2 linked regions of the Daphnia pulex genome follow. The protein of the gene in region 2 purifies or fractionates together with the protein of the main gene of each other region. This does not show direct contact. Links are inferred from orthologs where the notes say so. Each region holds a gene or a part of one and is shown on either strand. Other genes may lie near its edges.

Region 1 (6,863 bases), on a different chromosome or scaffold from region 2:
GTGACTGAATGCACTGCCGAAGCGACTACTCAGCGCACTTTGGATTCCTTGCATCGCTTCGCGCAGTGCTAGCTGGCTCAGTGACAACGGAAGAGCTCCACCTGCCGTTGGTAACGAATTGGTTGCCAAAACGGCTGGAGTTGTCGCAAGCGATTCCGGTAACGACCCAAGTTTTCCAATGCTTTTGACACTCACCTAATGAGAAAAAATCAAATTTTAATGTTAAAACCAAAGATCCAATTTTTCTTCTGAATGGAAAAATATCCTTACAGACTGAATCATTCCGTGTAGATCCATCACAACGTACGCGCCATGAGGAATGTTGCGAACGCAGACGGACAAGTCCCGGCCGTTCACAGCGAAATGAAGAGTGGATTCCACCGTTCGACGGATGCTAACGACATCCCCAACGGCCAAATGTTCCATGGGTAGACATGAGGCCAGAATTTTGCGTCCCGACTGGAAAACACTCGAACTGGAGATGTACCACGAAGACTCCAGACCACTTAAACTTGAAGGAATCACGGCTCCTTCTTGCGGATGGAAAGTAGTGAGGCCGACGGCAAGGGACCCAGCCCAGCGCTGAGACACGGTATCGATGCGCACATCAAACGACTCTTCTGGTTGCAGCGGCAATAAGCTGAACACCAGCCCATTCTCGAAATCCTTATCTTCGCGTTTGGCCGTTCGACCATCGTCTGACAGAGTGACAGCCCGACCACAATAAGGTGAGATACGATGACGATGCGGCTGGATGCATCTTGGTTCACTGGCGGTCGAGTCCATTGGAGTAGCATCTCCCTCCTGTTGGTTAGTAGGTATACCGGATACTTGAAGGGGTCTGTGGACCAGCGACACTTGGGCGCACTGTCCATACAAATCAATGACGGCATAAAGATCCTGGGGCACGCCCCAGCATGCTGCTCCTTGATCTTGGTCGTTCAGGTAGTAGTGTAAACTTCCGTCAGCATGGCGCAATAACCCAACTCGATTCCCTTCTTGTAAAGCGTCCAAGTCGAGTGGATAACCGTTTCGAGTGATGGTCCCATCCTACAAAAACAAAACAAATATGAATAAAAATGAAGATGAAAGAGTTCGTCATTTTGTGCTATTTCACCTGCATCACTGATGAACCGCTGAGCATCCACGTTCCGTAAGTGATGTCCGTCATTGTTGAAGGGAAATCCAAATTTTCAGGACGGATGGATGTTACGCCAAGTTCAAGTGATCCAGACCACCTTTCAACTAGTTTTTCGATCATCACTTCAAACACCTCCCCCGGTCTCAAGGGCCTTGATGTAATGCAGATGGCATCGTTGAATTCTGACAACGCGTTGGGTCTACTCGCCGTAAGGCAATTGCTAGACAAGGTTGTGTTGCGGCCGTGTAACCTGTGAAAGCTTAAATCCGTGTGGATGAGCGTTGACGACGCCGAAGTAGAAGACGATGAAGTGGGGAGGGCGTACGTGGAGTCAGCCAAAGAGGTGGGAGAGACCAAAGGGGCCAGAAGATGAGACGGTGCCGGATAGAGATAGGACGGATAGGGAGAAGAATCAGTTAGCGGAGTGGCCGGGGAAGGAGAGACGATGGATACTTGGGCTGCTTGGCCGTACAAATCCACGACTCCGTAAACCTTTTCTGGAACATTGCCGGCCGCTGGACCTTGATCTTCGCCGTTGACGAAGAAGTGTAAAACCCCATTCGAACGTCGTATCACACCGACCCGATCTCCCGAGCCCAGACGGTCGAGCGAAGTTCCATAATCGTCCAAAATAGTTAGTCCATTGTGCATCACGCCGTTGCCGGTCATCATCCAAGTGCCTGAACGGACGTTGGTCATTGTGGCAGGAAAGTCGAGCTCCTCGGGGCGTTGAGTCGTGACACCAATCTCGATGGAACCCGCCCATTTGAGAACCACTTTGTCCAACACTACTTCGAACAATTCGTCTGGCCTCAAAGGTCGGCTAGTCAACACGACACCGTGATTAAAGTCACTTTGTGCGTTCGGTCGATGTCCTGTCGTTCCACCATTCACAACAGCTGCGTGTAGACCGCACCGCATATGAAACTGCAGTTGTTCCACCACCACAGGAGCATCTTCTTCTGCCTCATTCGTTGGAGGTTTAACGGCGTCTTCCCGGTCAATCAGTGAAACTATTGAGAACATTCATCATAGTTTTTTAACACAAACGGAGACAAAATTGTAAAAACAGTAAATGAAATTACCTCTGACTGTCCGCCCGTAGAGATCCACAACACCCCACACAGGATTTGGTACATTGGACGCGGCAACGCCCTGGTCACGACCATTGACGTAAAAATGCAGATCCCCGTTTGTCTTGCGTATGAGTCCGATCCGGTCCCCTTCGCCTAACTCGTCCAAGTTGCATTGGCCGTACTCACGACGGGTCCCTTTGCCATTGGTCAAGATTCCACAGCCAGACATCATAATCTAAATTTGACTCCATTAGAATTTAAAACCAAAATGGAATGCAGAAGTTATTAACATGCAGGATATTTCAAAAGAGTACCGTTCCGCTGCGAAGATTGGTCATAGTAGAAGGAAAGTCCAGAGCAGCTGGGTTGTGAGTTGTAATTCCAACCTCGATAGAGCCAGACCATTTGTCTACTAAACTATCGATACGAATCTCAAAGAGCTCGTCAGGTAGAAGAGGACGTTGGGTCATGACTACGCCTGAAAATTATAAAATAAAATGGATAGCTACACATTTAGAATTTCAAAACTGTTGGCTGGGAGATAAACTAACCGTTATTAAACTCGTCTAGCGGTCGCCTGCGTTCGCCAGTTCGTTGTCCAGCCGAAAGTTTCACCATTGTGCCACACCGATGATGAAACCGCAATCGATCCTGAAGTGCACCGCTTGGTGTACTCGCAGTACTACAAGATTCTTCTTCCTGATTTACTTGATTGCTATCCATCATAACTGAACTCAAAGCTGGAGACAACAACAAGGAATGTTTTCAGGTTCTTTGTAAGGAATATGATTCACAACTTACTTAATAATGGCCTAGGTAGTGAATGAGTCTCACTATGGTTAATCATAGAAACCTGAACACATTTGCCATAAAGATCGACAACAGCATAAATAGTTTGAGGGATGCCTGAGACAGCTACTCCTTGAGCAAATGAATTAACATAGAAAACCAAATCTCCCTAAACAGAACAAAAAATTTTAAAATAAAACAAAATTTAAAACAACATGCACAGAAGGTAAACATACTTCTGAGGTGCGCATTACACCAACTCGGTCTCCCTCACTCAATTCATCCAAATTTGGGCCATAGTCTTCTACGATAATTTTACCATTTTCAAACAGATTGCATCCAGACAAAACCTGGAACATGAAAAAAGTGCTTAATTTTTTGAATTACCTATTCAAGAACGAATGTACCCATGATTTATTGACAATATCTAGGGCATTTGGAGGAGGGGCGGGGTGGAAGGTAGCTGGATCTTGTGTGGTAATTCCAATTTGTAGACTACCTGTCCATGAGTGAACCTGCAAAATCCAATGAACAATGCACTTTTACTCTTTATTCTCTCTCGATTAAACAAATTGAGTAGCACTTTGTTTAATAATAACAAACCTTGCGGTCGATCCGGACTTCAAAGACCTGCTCGTCCTTTAACGACCGACTGGAGAAAACCAGCCCTTGGTTGAATTCGTGACTAGGACGGAGACGGAAGGCTGAAAAGCCGTTCTCCGATAGCTGAACTAAAGTTCCATGGATTGAGTGAAACTGTTGCTGCAGCGGGACGGAAGATATTATGCAGCTGGACGGCTCCTCCGCCATTATTGACAACGGCAAGGTACAAACCGTACAATCCGTCACAACACAACACTGTGCAAACTTTTAAATTCGGTCGGTAGATGGCGAGCTATTTTTACAAGGATGTCCAACTGCAATTTGTGATGCATTTGTTTGTTTGTGATGCATTTGTTTGTTTGCACTGCAGCACTCCCCACATGTATATAAAGTCACCGCACACGAAAGTCGCTAATAGCGAGTTAACCTCGGTCATTAATTACTCCATGGTATGTTTCGCGAAACCAATAAATGAGCTACATTCATTGTAACACATTGCGATGGATATGATTCTTCTTAAGGCATAGTTCCAGTTATAAAAACGATATTGCCAAGACAGTGCTTGAGCTACGACGTTTTCATCTTCACACTGCCAACGACTATAAGAGGCAATTAAATTTTAATATATTGATAATGAAATCATCCCCCCATTCGTCCACTATGATAAATAAACATGATTTTTATCGTGTACATCATGATATCAAGTGGATGAAGTGTAGGCGTGAGTACTCATTTTCAAGATTAAACTCTGGGCAGAGCAGACTAATGTTCAACCAGTTAATCAGAGGAAATAGTATTAACGCGCCGAACTAGGAGAGGTTGAAATCTTCCTGAATTGACTATGCTGCTGCATAGAATATTAATAGATTATCGCTGGGAAAGACGACGGTGGCATTAATGATATATTGAGAATCGCAGAATGACCAAAAAATAATTGCGAATATATCAGATGAAAAAAAGAAACTAATCAAATGCATTAAACAAACAATGTTCATGAGTCAAATCTGGAATACGCTACAAGAATCGGCTACTGTATGTCTAAATCAGAATATAAACAATTATTTCAGCGTTGATATGAATAGAGGGAGAGAGTGCACCTTGTGGACGCATCGTATCGGATTGCGGAACCGCAAACGAAAGTCGTTAATAACGAGTTCATTTCGGTAATTATTTACTCCATCGATATAGTACCGAGAAACAAATAAATGAGCTACATACATTGTAACAAATTGCTACAGAATAGATAACTCTAAAGGCATTGCCCAGTAATAACAATAATATTAATAAGCTAGTGCTTGAGCATTTACATTTTTCATCTTGACCCTTCAAGCGCCTATAAGATTCAATTAAATTTATTCATAAGGTGTTCATACCTGTACACATTCATATCGAGTAGCGAGCGGATGAACACGGTGGATAACACGATCGGAATTGTTTTAACTCCTAAACGTTCTCCTTACCGTAGGACTTTGCAGTATGCACGAAAGGCGTTGAAAACTTGAAACTTGAAAGTTGAAAGCACATGATGGTTAAGTGATCGAACCGCCTATTCTCTTGCGTTAAATTGCTGTCCATAATTTTTAAGGTTAATATTATCATTGAAATAACCTTAATATTTTTAAAGAATACTATGGATGATATGATAACCGTCCATTAAAACGTTAATACTGATATTGTAATGTTAAACTAGCCTACAACTCCTCTAGCTCCGGCTACATCCAATTTGGAGTGTACAAATATCATTCCACAATTTCAAGTTTTTTGTTGGATTGCTGAGGTGGGCTGTTCGACGATGTCATTCCAAATAGCCGAGAGTCAACACGTAATCATTCTCCCAGTCACAAACGGCAATGTGAGTATCAAGGCAGTTTGGCGTGAATTAGACTCTGATATTTTTCGGGTTGCTTTAGTATGTATCAAGATATTGGGATAACAAGGGAATATTTTGAAAATGGTCGGATTTACGGCATACGGCTCTTTGGTTGAGAACAGATATCCAACGCCTTTTCAAGATCCGGTAATCCACTTTCTTCAGAGGTAAAATGATTGCCTCAAGTGATGTTACCTGATGGTGTATTCTGCATTAGTCTTATTTTAAAAGCTAATACAAAGGTAAATGGTGAAAAAAATAAAATCGTTTATCTTATTTCTGCCTAGTGTGATGGCAATCTCAAGTCCGTTTAACAGCAGAAAGCGAGATTATAATAGTCACTTGAGAGGTGAGAAATATAATTTCAAAACTATTTTGTGTAAATCAAGTACTTTAGAAGCCCCTAACGTGTATCAAGTAGGTTGTGTTATTTGAAGCAAGCTTACGCTATTGAGTGAGGTAAAACGTTGAAAGTGAGAAAAGCGATGAATTAGTTTTATGAAATAGCATTTCCAAGTGTTTTTATGTAAACTGACTTTAAGTGGCTTGTTGCTGCTAGCTGCTTATAGTCGAATCACATAAAACGTTTTAATGAATTGCCGGACCTCATGTCACAAACCCGCCTACGGTATATACAGCTGCATAGACTTTCAGTTGTGAATAGAATAAATTATTGAGTACTGAGCCGTACATCCGTTTGCTTTCAACTGAACCTTTTTTTTTCCTTATTTCCTTTGCCCATCTCTGTCTCCTTTCATTTTCGTTTTCTTTACTGCTGAAGAATATGGCGCTCCGCAGTCTATACCACCACGCACTTGGTTAACCTTGCTCTTTTCTTGAATCACACAGGAGGGAAGATGATAGTTTTTTCCATTCCAGTTTTTCACTAAAAGGAAAAATCATTACGAATCAAATTAAATATCCCGTTGTTAATTTTGACTTTGTTTCAATATGCAAATCAACCATTTGAATTTGTGTAAAGCAAACTAGCATGGATATCTTTGTAAGATTTTTTTTAAATTAACAGCCCAAGGCTCAGCGCACTATTAAATGAGGTCTCGAATAAAATATGACTGATAAATGTTATGTACAAGAACCCTGCAGCAGATTTAGATTTGAATTTTTTCATTATAATTTAAGCTCTTCAAAACTGATTTATCTCACGTCATTCCGTAACAAATTGGCCTATAGCTTATATAATAGCTTTTGTACAAAGCAGGCGGCCGGAAGCCGTATACCGTTTTGTTGGTTTTTGTGTAGATTTCTGAATGACTCGAGGCTGTGTTCCGCCGTGTTCAGCAGAGAAAGTAGATAGAGCCTAAACTGTTTTCAGCTGTGTGTATAGCAACGCTCCTATGGCAACGAGGCCAATAGGGAAGAGGCC
Region 2 (6,921 bases):
GTTTGGAATGCTTAACACTCTTGGATTTGGTATTCAACTCAGGTTGCATGACTGATTCACCATGAACTTTTGAAACATTCTGTAGAATTGGGTGGTTCTTCCTTGGAAAGACTGTTGGAACACTGCTGGTAACATAATGGTTGTGGTAGATATGAGAAGGTCCAGCAATAGGATCTGTGTCAGTCTCCTCGTACTCCACATCAGGGCGAAGTGGAGTGCATTGTGGCAACTCATATTGAATTAATTTTTTTTGAACAACAAGCCTTGTTTCACTAACATTCCTAACATTATAACTTTCGGGGGTTTTTAATGCCTTGGATTTCTTTTTTGGTAATTTCCAATGTTGTCCTTGAGTTGAAATTCTTGCAGTTGTAAATCTTTCGTTGTTTCTTGATAAGCTGTCATCCCTTGGACGCTTCACAGCCTTGCGCTCATTAGTGTCTTTACTACTATTTACTAGGATTGCTAGGTCACGAATTTTCACATAGCAGTTGCCAAGTACTTGTTCTTTCGCCTTTGCGTGGAATTTCTCGGGAATCGCACTCAAGTCAATATGAACCATTGGTAGTGAGGATTCAAAGCGTTCGACCACTTCATCTGGCATTTCCCCCCATCCAGGAAATTCATTTGTCAAAAGAGTTTCATTATTTGAATTTAAGCTGGCACGGGAATCGGGACGCCGATAGCTGTTAGAGGCTGATGACTCCATTTTTAAAACACTAATAAATGTTTATACGTGGCTATTCATGACGCCTCATAAACACACAACTAGAAGAGCATAACTAAAACTCGCAAAAGGCGCTCGGAGACCATAAGAAAATCGCCATTTTGTCGGCTGCTATACCCCTTTGTCCGCAACGTTTTCGCCCCCTACTGGCACGTTTTTTTGGGTTTTTTTTTGTTCAAACTCATAAAATGGGGACCTGTTGCGAGTTTGTTGTCCAACCCAAATAGGTCTACGTGGGGGAGAGGGTAAGTAAATAGTTAATCCGCGAGTAAAACTCCTGAAACTTATACGGGTAGGGGGAGGTAAAGCACAAATAAAATCGATCTTTGAGATAAAAAGAAATCTTTGTGATAAAAAGAAATTCGTAAAAATAAATAAATTAAACAACTATATTAACTTCATGTAAGTACCTTGTATTGCACAGTTTGCTCGTTTTAATAATGGATGAAATAGGTGGAAAGTCGGAAGATCCAGGCATTCGTAAGTAGTTGAGCTTTTTGTGTAAGTAAACATTTTAAAAAGCAAGTAAAAATTCAAGAAAAAAAAGGACGATTAGGGTTCGCTAAGTTAGTCAGCGCGGAAATGTCTGTGCGTGTTAACCATAGTAGGATGGATAGAGAATGTTTCAGTTTTAAAGGATATAGATTTTTTTTTTGTGCTGTCCCAAGTGAAGGAAAATTCGGGGGATCGAAATCAACAAAAAATATTGACATGCTCCCAAGTTTTTTCATTCAATCAATTCTACATAATTAGCTGGAAAAAGACCATAGGTCCCGTCCGGACCAACTCCTTGCCACCAACCTACAACACAAGAAAAATTAATTAACTGGAGAAACGTTTAAATGAAATCCAGTAATGCTTACCTTCATCAATTTGATCAATATTGGTTATAATATCTCCAGGGTCAAAAGATATTTCTCCAGGCTCACCTATCAGTTACAAATATTAAATCATTATACATTCCTAAAGAGCACGTACTTTACAATGATATTACCTGCTTGATAATCGTAAAGGGCCCGGGCTCTTATACCGAAACCATTGACTTCATTATCAATGAAATTATCTGCCTGAACTTGTTTCACAATCTCTTGAGGAGGCGATTCCCATTCTTGTTCTTCTTCGTCATTAACATCTTCGTAATCTTGATTGGCATCGTCAAGCATAGCTGCAATAGGTGAAATAGGGGCCGTTTCGAGCTGCTCAGTGGGCGGAGGTGATGAGGGTAATTCAGGGGGAGCATCGGCAAATTCGGGTGCTGGTGGGACAATAACGGCTGGTGTAGGCGTTTCAAAGATCCATTCGTTCTTCATTGGTGGCGGTGGTGACGATATGGAAGAAGAATGGCCATTCGAGGAATTATTAGCATAAAAGTTAGTTTGAATCGAAGTTTGGCGGACAACATTAGGGGTAGGAGAGGCGGGTGATGGGGAAACAGGAGACGGAGATACAGAATTAGGGGATGGTGGCCATTTAGCACCAACTTTGTTCGGAGCACTCGGGGTTGGGCTTGGGGATGACACATTGGAACTGCTGCTTCTTCTTGATATTGAAAGCTGACCAGCAGAAGTATTTTGTTCAAAGATAGCTTTTGCGTCAATGCTGCGCTGTTTAATCAGAGACTGAGCCTCGTTATTTCTCTGTCGGCGTAGAATTTCACTACGCATTCGTCTTTCTTCATCATCTTTATCGTCATCTTGTTTCTGTTTGGCCCATTTAGCTTTTTCAGCCTCCTCTGAGGAAATACTGGCTTTTTCTTCCGCCTGTCGTAGCTCGGAAATACTTCGCATTCGAGCTAACACCTGATTCTCTCGAGCACGACTACCTTCCATCTGGATTGCAGAAATATTTAAATCAAATTTGTCTTCGAGTATGCAAAAAAAGACGTCTAATGTGTGACATACTTCTCTTTTCTTTAATTCTTCTTCACGACGCTTAGACTCTTCCTCTTTTCGTCGCTGTTCCTCCAATTGGCGTTTTTTCTCTTCTTCTTCTTCCTGTGCCCAAAAGCTATCACGAGCTTTTGCATCTATCTCTTGTGTGGGATTTACTCTTTTGTAAATAGTTCCCTGAATATTTGTAATGAAAAAATGTCATTCATCAACTAAAAAAATATTTAATTATAATCTTGACATACCACAGGGCCAGTTGGTTCATCCTCTCTGGAATCCAAACGACTAAAATTATAAATCGACCCTGTAGATTTGGCCACTTTGTCTACGATTGCTTCTTCATCAACCTCGTCTTCAGTTCGCGCATTTACCGTGATGTGAATTCCTTTAAAGAACTTTTGAATGGGTCCTAAATGATTGGTGCAAGTTCCTTTACGGATACCAGGAGCACTCTCACCTTGCTAAAAAATACAAAAAAAAAAAACCGAGATAGTTAAACAATGGCAAAATGGAGTTATAGTGAAAAGACAAGTATAAACAAGAAATACCCAGTTGATGAGGACATATTTGGGAAGACTTGTTTTTGGGTCTTTCACCCTGCAGAATGCATACATTATTTTACAGCTGTTCAAGTCTTCTGCCAGTTCTGTGATACCACCATCTAAATAAATTATTATAATTATAAGTATGCTGATTAAAGTTCCAATAGGATTCAAACATGTTAATTCTATGCATAGAAAAATAATAAATGGTGATCATAACTGCACATTACCTCCTTTTCCAACAAGTTTCAGGTCATAAGACTGTCCTTCGTAGGTAAATAATGCCCAATCTGTTGGATTCTTATCGTCAACAACTTCTTTCCAGGCTTTAAGCATTTCATCCTGATACTTGACTAGGTTAAGTGCCATTTCCAAGCAGATTTATTTGTTGTGTTTCACTTAGAACAACACTGAAATGTACAAAAAAATCAAAACAATAAGTTATAAAACTCCATTTTACAACTCTAATAAGAAAAAATGTTGTGAAATTAAAATTCTACGAGGAATAATATTTTGGTAGCCGCCCAAGCTGCTAACTTACAAAGGAATGTTTCACTCGATTAAAGAAGAAAGAGCCGGCCTTAATGCATCACCATAAAACCTCGAACTAATCTCAATATCGTGACGATAGCATAATGACGTGTTCTGAACGAGATAACAGAAATATTCCACTCACATTTTCCTCAAAGACGTCAAATCCAGCAGAAACGTAGTGGCTTCCCAACGAAATATAACTATCACAAATTGTTGGCTAATTGTCACCTGCTGAAGAAATCACAGCAACCTTCCTTCTCCTTTGTAATTGCTTTGACGTTTATGCGAGTGGATTTTCAGAGGAGACGGCGAACTCTCTTCTCATCTGGCTTAGTGGCCTGACGGACTGTGACTGGGGCGGGCAGAGCGGAGCGGGAGCGGGGCATTTTCAGTTTCAGAATTCATGGAAATAATCTGTCATGCGAAAAAGAAGCTGGAAATTCTAGTTGCACAACACAGCAGCGCGCGCGCATCTATTCAACAATCAAGTTCACTTATTCCTTAGAGCATTAAAGGAGAAAGACGAACGGAATTTTGGGGGTTTATTCTAAAAGCTTTTTCAAAAAATTTGCACCGCTTCACCAAATTCATCTCTCAGCAAAATATCTCACGCTATTCCAACAGGATTAGTGGAGCGTAGTAAGGCTTTATTCACTGCATAATCAAGTTGTTGAACGAAAAAATATTAAGATTGATTTCAGTAAACTACTTAAAATTTAAAAGAGTTGACCGACAATATTTCACAGTTATGTGACAATGCAGATATTAAGTATATACGTTTTCCGAATACTAGCTTCGCTTATCTTCATGGTATATCGCTCGAGGGACATTATTCCTGTCACTGTACTCACAATGAATGGGAGAACACTGTTGGAATAATTGTTTGAACACGACTCACCCTAGGGGAAGATAAAAAATAAAGAATTCTTCTTTCAAATGTGATAAAGTGGCCACCAGTCGCCACCATCCTTTTAAAATGATTTGATATGGTTTACATGCATCTCAGTAGATTTCCTGGAAAATGGCGATGTTAACGTGAGATATTAGCAATTTCCCAGTTTGCATCACAAGAAGATTAGTGTCTAGAAATTAATTGTAGGTAATTAATGAGGTATACCATTAAGCTAATTGCTCTAGATAGAAATGACTCAAATGAGAAGTTTGGTAACAAAAAAATCAAAATGGTTTCTTTGCAAGGAGAGGTCGATTCCGACGCCATATTTCCCTTATCTTGCTGTGAACGTCGTCCTTAGCAACTTTACACAAATCCTTGTTTGCTTAAAAAGTTGGACGTTTCTAGAAAAAAAAGATACTTGCCTTCTCCCAAGCAATCAATACAACTCAGTGTGGTCGGATAAGGACCGAGAAGAGCTGGCCTTATTTTGCTTCATCACCCTCAACTTTTGATCTTGGGTTTGCAAAATCGATGGCGTGCGGCAAGTTCGTACAATACCAATAGTTTGGAGGAGAGTGTGTCCCCAATACTATCCATTCTACATACATTGAGTCTAAACAATACATGAATGATACAGCATCATCGATTGGGAGATCGACGAGAGCAAAGGACAATACATTCAGTCAATATAATCGAAACGCATGGTTCCTATTGGATCGATGTCTATTGGATCAAAGGGAAATGACGATTTTAGATAATGCTTCCGTCCGCTTCCGTCTGAGCAGAGCATGTGAAATTTGATCATCCAGTTGATGAAACTACAAGAGACACTCGCGACAGAGAATTCCAATAATCAATATGATGAAGAAATATAATATAGTTACTGTATATCAGCGATCAGTTGCAAACGCACATGAGCGCACTGATGACCAATAAGGCAATAACATATCGAATTATCAAGGGATTCCCCTAAAAAAAAACAAGTGTAATTACGACTACTATATGTTCTGGAGCGTTATAGGTAATCTTAATCTTAATTAAACGACCAACGACAAATAAGTGCAATTTGCTTGTGAGGAAATTTGGTACTATGGCGCAACCTTTTTTTTAAATAAACGAGCGTAACATAACTGACCTTTGAGTTTTCTTAGGATTTAAAATAGTATTAAAAAGAATAGCCTCACGCTCGATTGTTGATGGGTCTTTCACTCTTTCTTTCAATTTAGCTCACACAGCCTCACTGTAGTATTCAGACACACCACAAGGAGCGCTGTATGTCTGTACTCTTAGGAGTTGTGGATCAGTGTTAGGGCCTTTAATTGTATCTCAGCGAAAGTCGAGGCGGAATTTGGAGTAAGTTAACCGGCCTCATTTTCTAAATTTGTGAAACACATTTCTTGAATGTTTTTTTTTCTTTCAACGTGTGTCACCTAGTATTAACTTAACTCGGTATACAAGCTAACGGTACAAAAGCTAGAATTCAAGAAGTCCAACAGAATCAGCAATTTGTTTCGATTCTCCTATTAATCCTATTAATAATACGTCGATGTTTTAGAAATGAAGCCTGTAGAAATTCTCGCTAACTTACATCCAGCTTTTACTTTGTAAAGGTTGTCAGGGGTTGTCAGACCCAACAAACGTGACAGTCTCATTGTTGTTTGACCAACAAAACAAAAAGATTTTTAATGTGAGTTTTCAGCAATCAATGTTATTTTTTATTTGATTTTGAATGCCCTTCTTTCTTCTTATAGATGGATGGTCACAATAACCAGCAACCACCGTTTCCATTGTATTATGGATACCAATATGCTCAGCCTCAGCCCAACAATTTCCCTCATGCAATGCAATATAGTTTTCCTCCTCCCCCATTCCATGAAATGAATTTTCCACCCCCTATACCTTATGGGATATACCCACCACCACCACCACAACCATTTGCAATTGGCCCACATGCACAACAAACAAGTTACCCACCAGCAATTTCCCATTCTTTTGTGCCAAACTATCCTCCATTGAATCAGTATCCCCAGGCTGCCCCGTATCTCTCAGCCCAGCAACGTCCATCAGCTTGCAGTTCTATGCCCACAAGTAACACTCACCCACAAACTAATAAAGTTTCAGGATCATATTCAAGTCATAATTCCACATCGAAAAGACCTTTACCTATTAAATCAAGCCAAAAGCCTCACTCCAGTTCTTCATCTTCTACAAGAACAGAGTATAAGAAGTCACATCAACATTCTGCTCATGAGGATGAACCTATCACCCCACCGGACGAATATTCTAGCCTAACTCCTGAAGAAATTATTGAAAATGAGAAGAAAACATGGACTC

Evidence for each region.
Region 1: the proteins of drebrin-like protein B (region 2) and neuralized-like protein 4 purify together in Homo sapiens (co-immunoprecipitation; 4 studies listed by BioGRID and IntAct, counting the BioPlex papers as one, with this or other methods). This does not show direct contact. The link is inferred for Daphnia pulex from reciprocal best matches to the Homo sapiens genes DBNL and NEURL4.

Annotation. Positions count from the first base shown.
Region 1 is NC_060025.1:7,232,452-7,239,314, reverse strand, and holds the start of neuralized-like protein 4, read right to left. Parts: upstream 3,856-6,863; 5' UTR 3,817-3,855; coding exon 3,610-3,816; intron 3,522-3,609; coding exon 3,414-3,521; intron 3,357-3,413; coding exon 3,243-3,356; intron 3,176-3,242; coding exon 3,019-3,175; intron 2,958-3,018; coding exon 2,769-2,957; intron 2,696-2,768; coding exon 2,532-2,695; intron 2,453-2,531; coding exon 2,227-2,452; intron 2,155-2,226; coding exon 1,118-2,154; intron 1,051-1,117; coding exon 271-1,050; intron 196-270; coding exon 1-195. UniProt on the Homo sapiens protein: Promotes CCP110 ubiquitination and proteasome-dependent degradation. By counteracting accumulation of CP110, maintains normal centriolar homeostasis and preventing formation of ectopic microtubular organizing centers.
Region 2 is NC_060020.1:4,127,895-4,134,815, reverse strand, and holds drebrin-like protein B, read right to left. Parts: upstream 4,161-6,921; 5' UTR 3,835-4,160; exon of another isoform or gene 3,700-3,834; intron 3,569-3,699; 5' UTR 3,528-3,568; coding exon 3,389-3,527; intron 3,278-3,388; coding exon 3,165-3,277; intron 3,078-3,164; coding exon 2,862-3,077; intron 2,794-2,861; coding exon 2,629-2,793; intron 2,557-2,628; coding exon 1,722-2,556; intron 1,657-1,721; coding exon 1,591-1,656; intron 1,529-1,590; coding exon 1,455-1,528; 3' UTR 1,120-1,454; downstream 1-1,119. Other genes in the region: uncharacterized protein LOC124193009, read right to left, coding at 1-709; ribonuclease 3-like, read left to right, coding at 6,339-6,921. UniProt on the Homo sapiens protein: Adapter protein that binds F-actin and DNM1, and thereby plays a role in receptor-mediated endocytosis.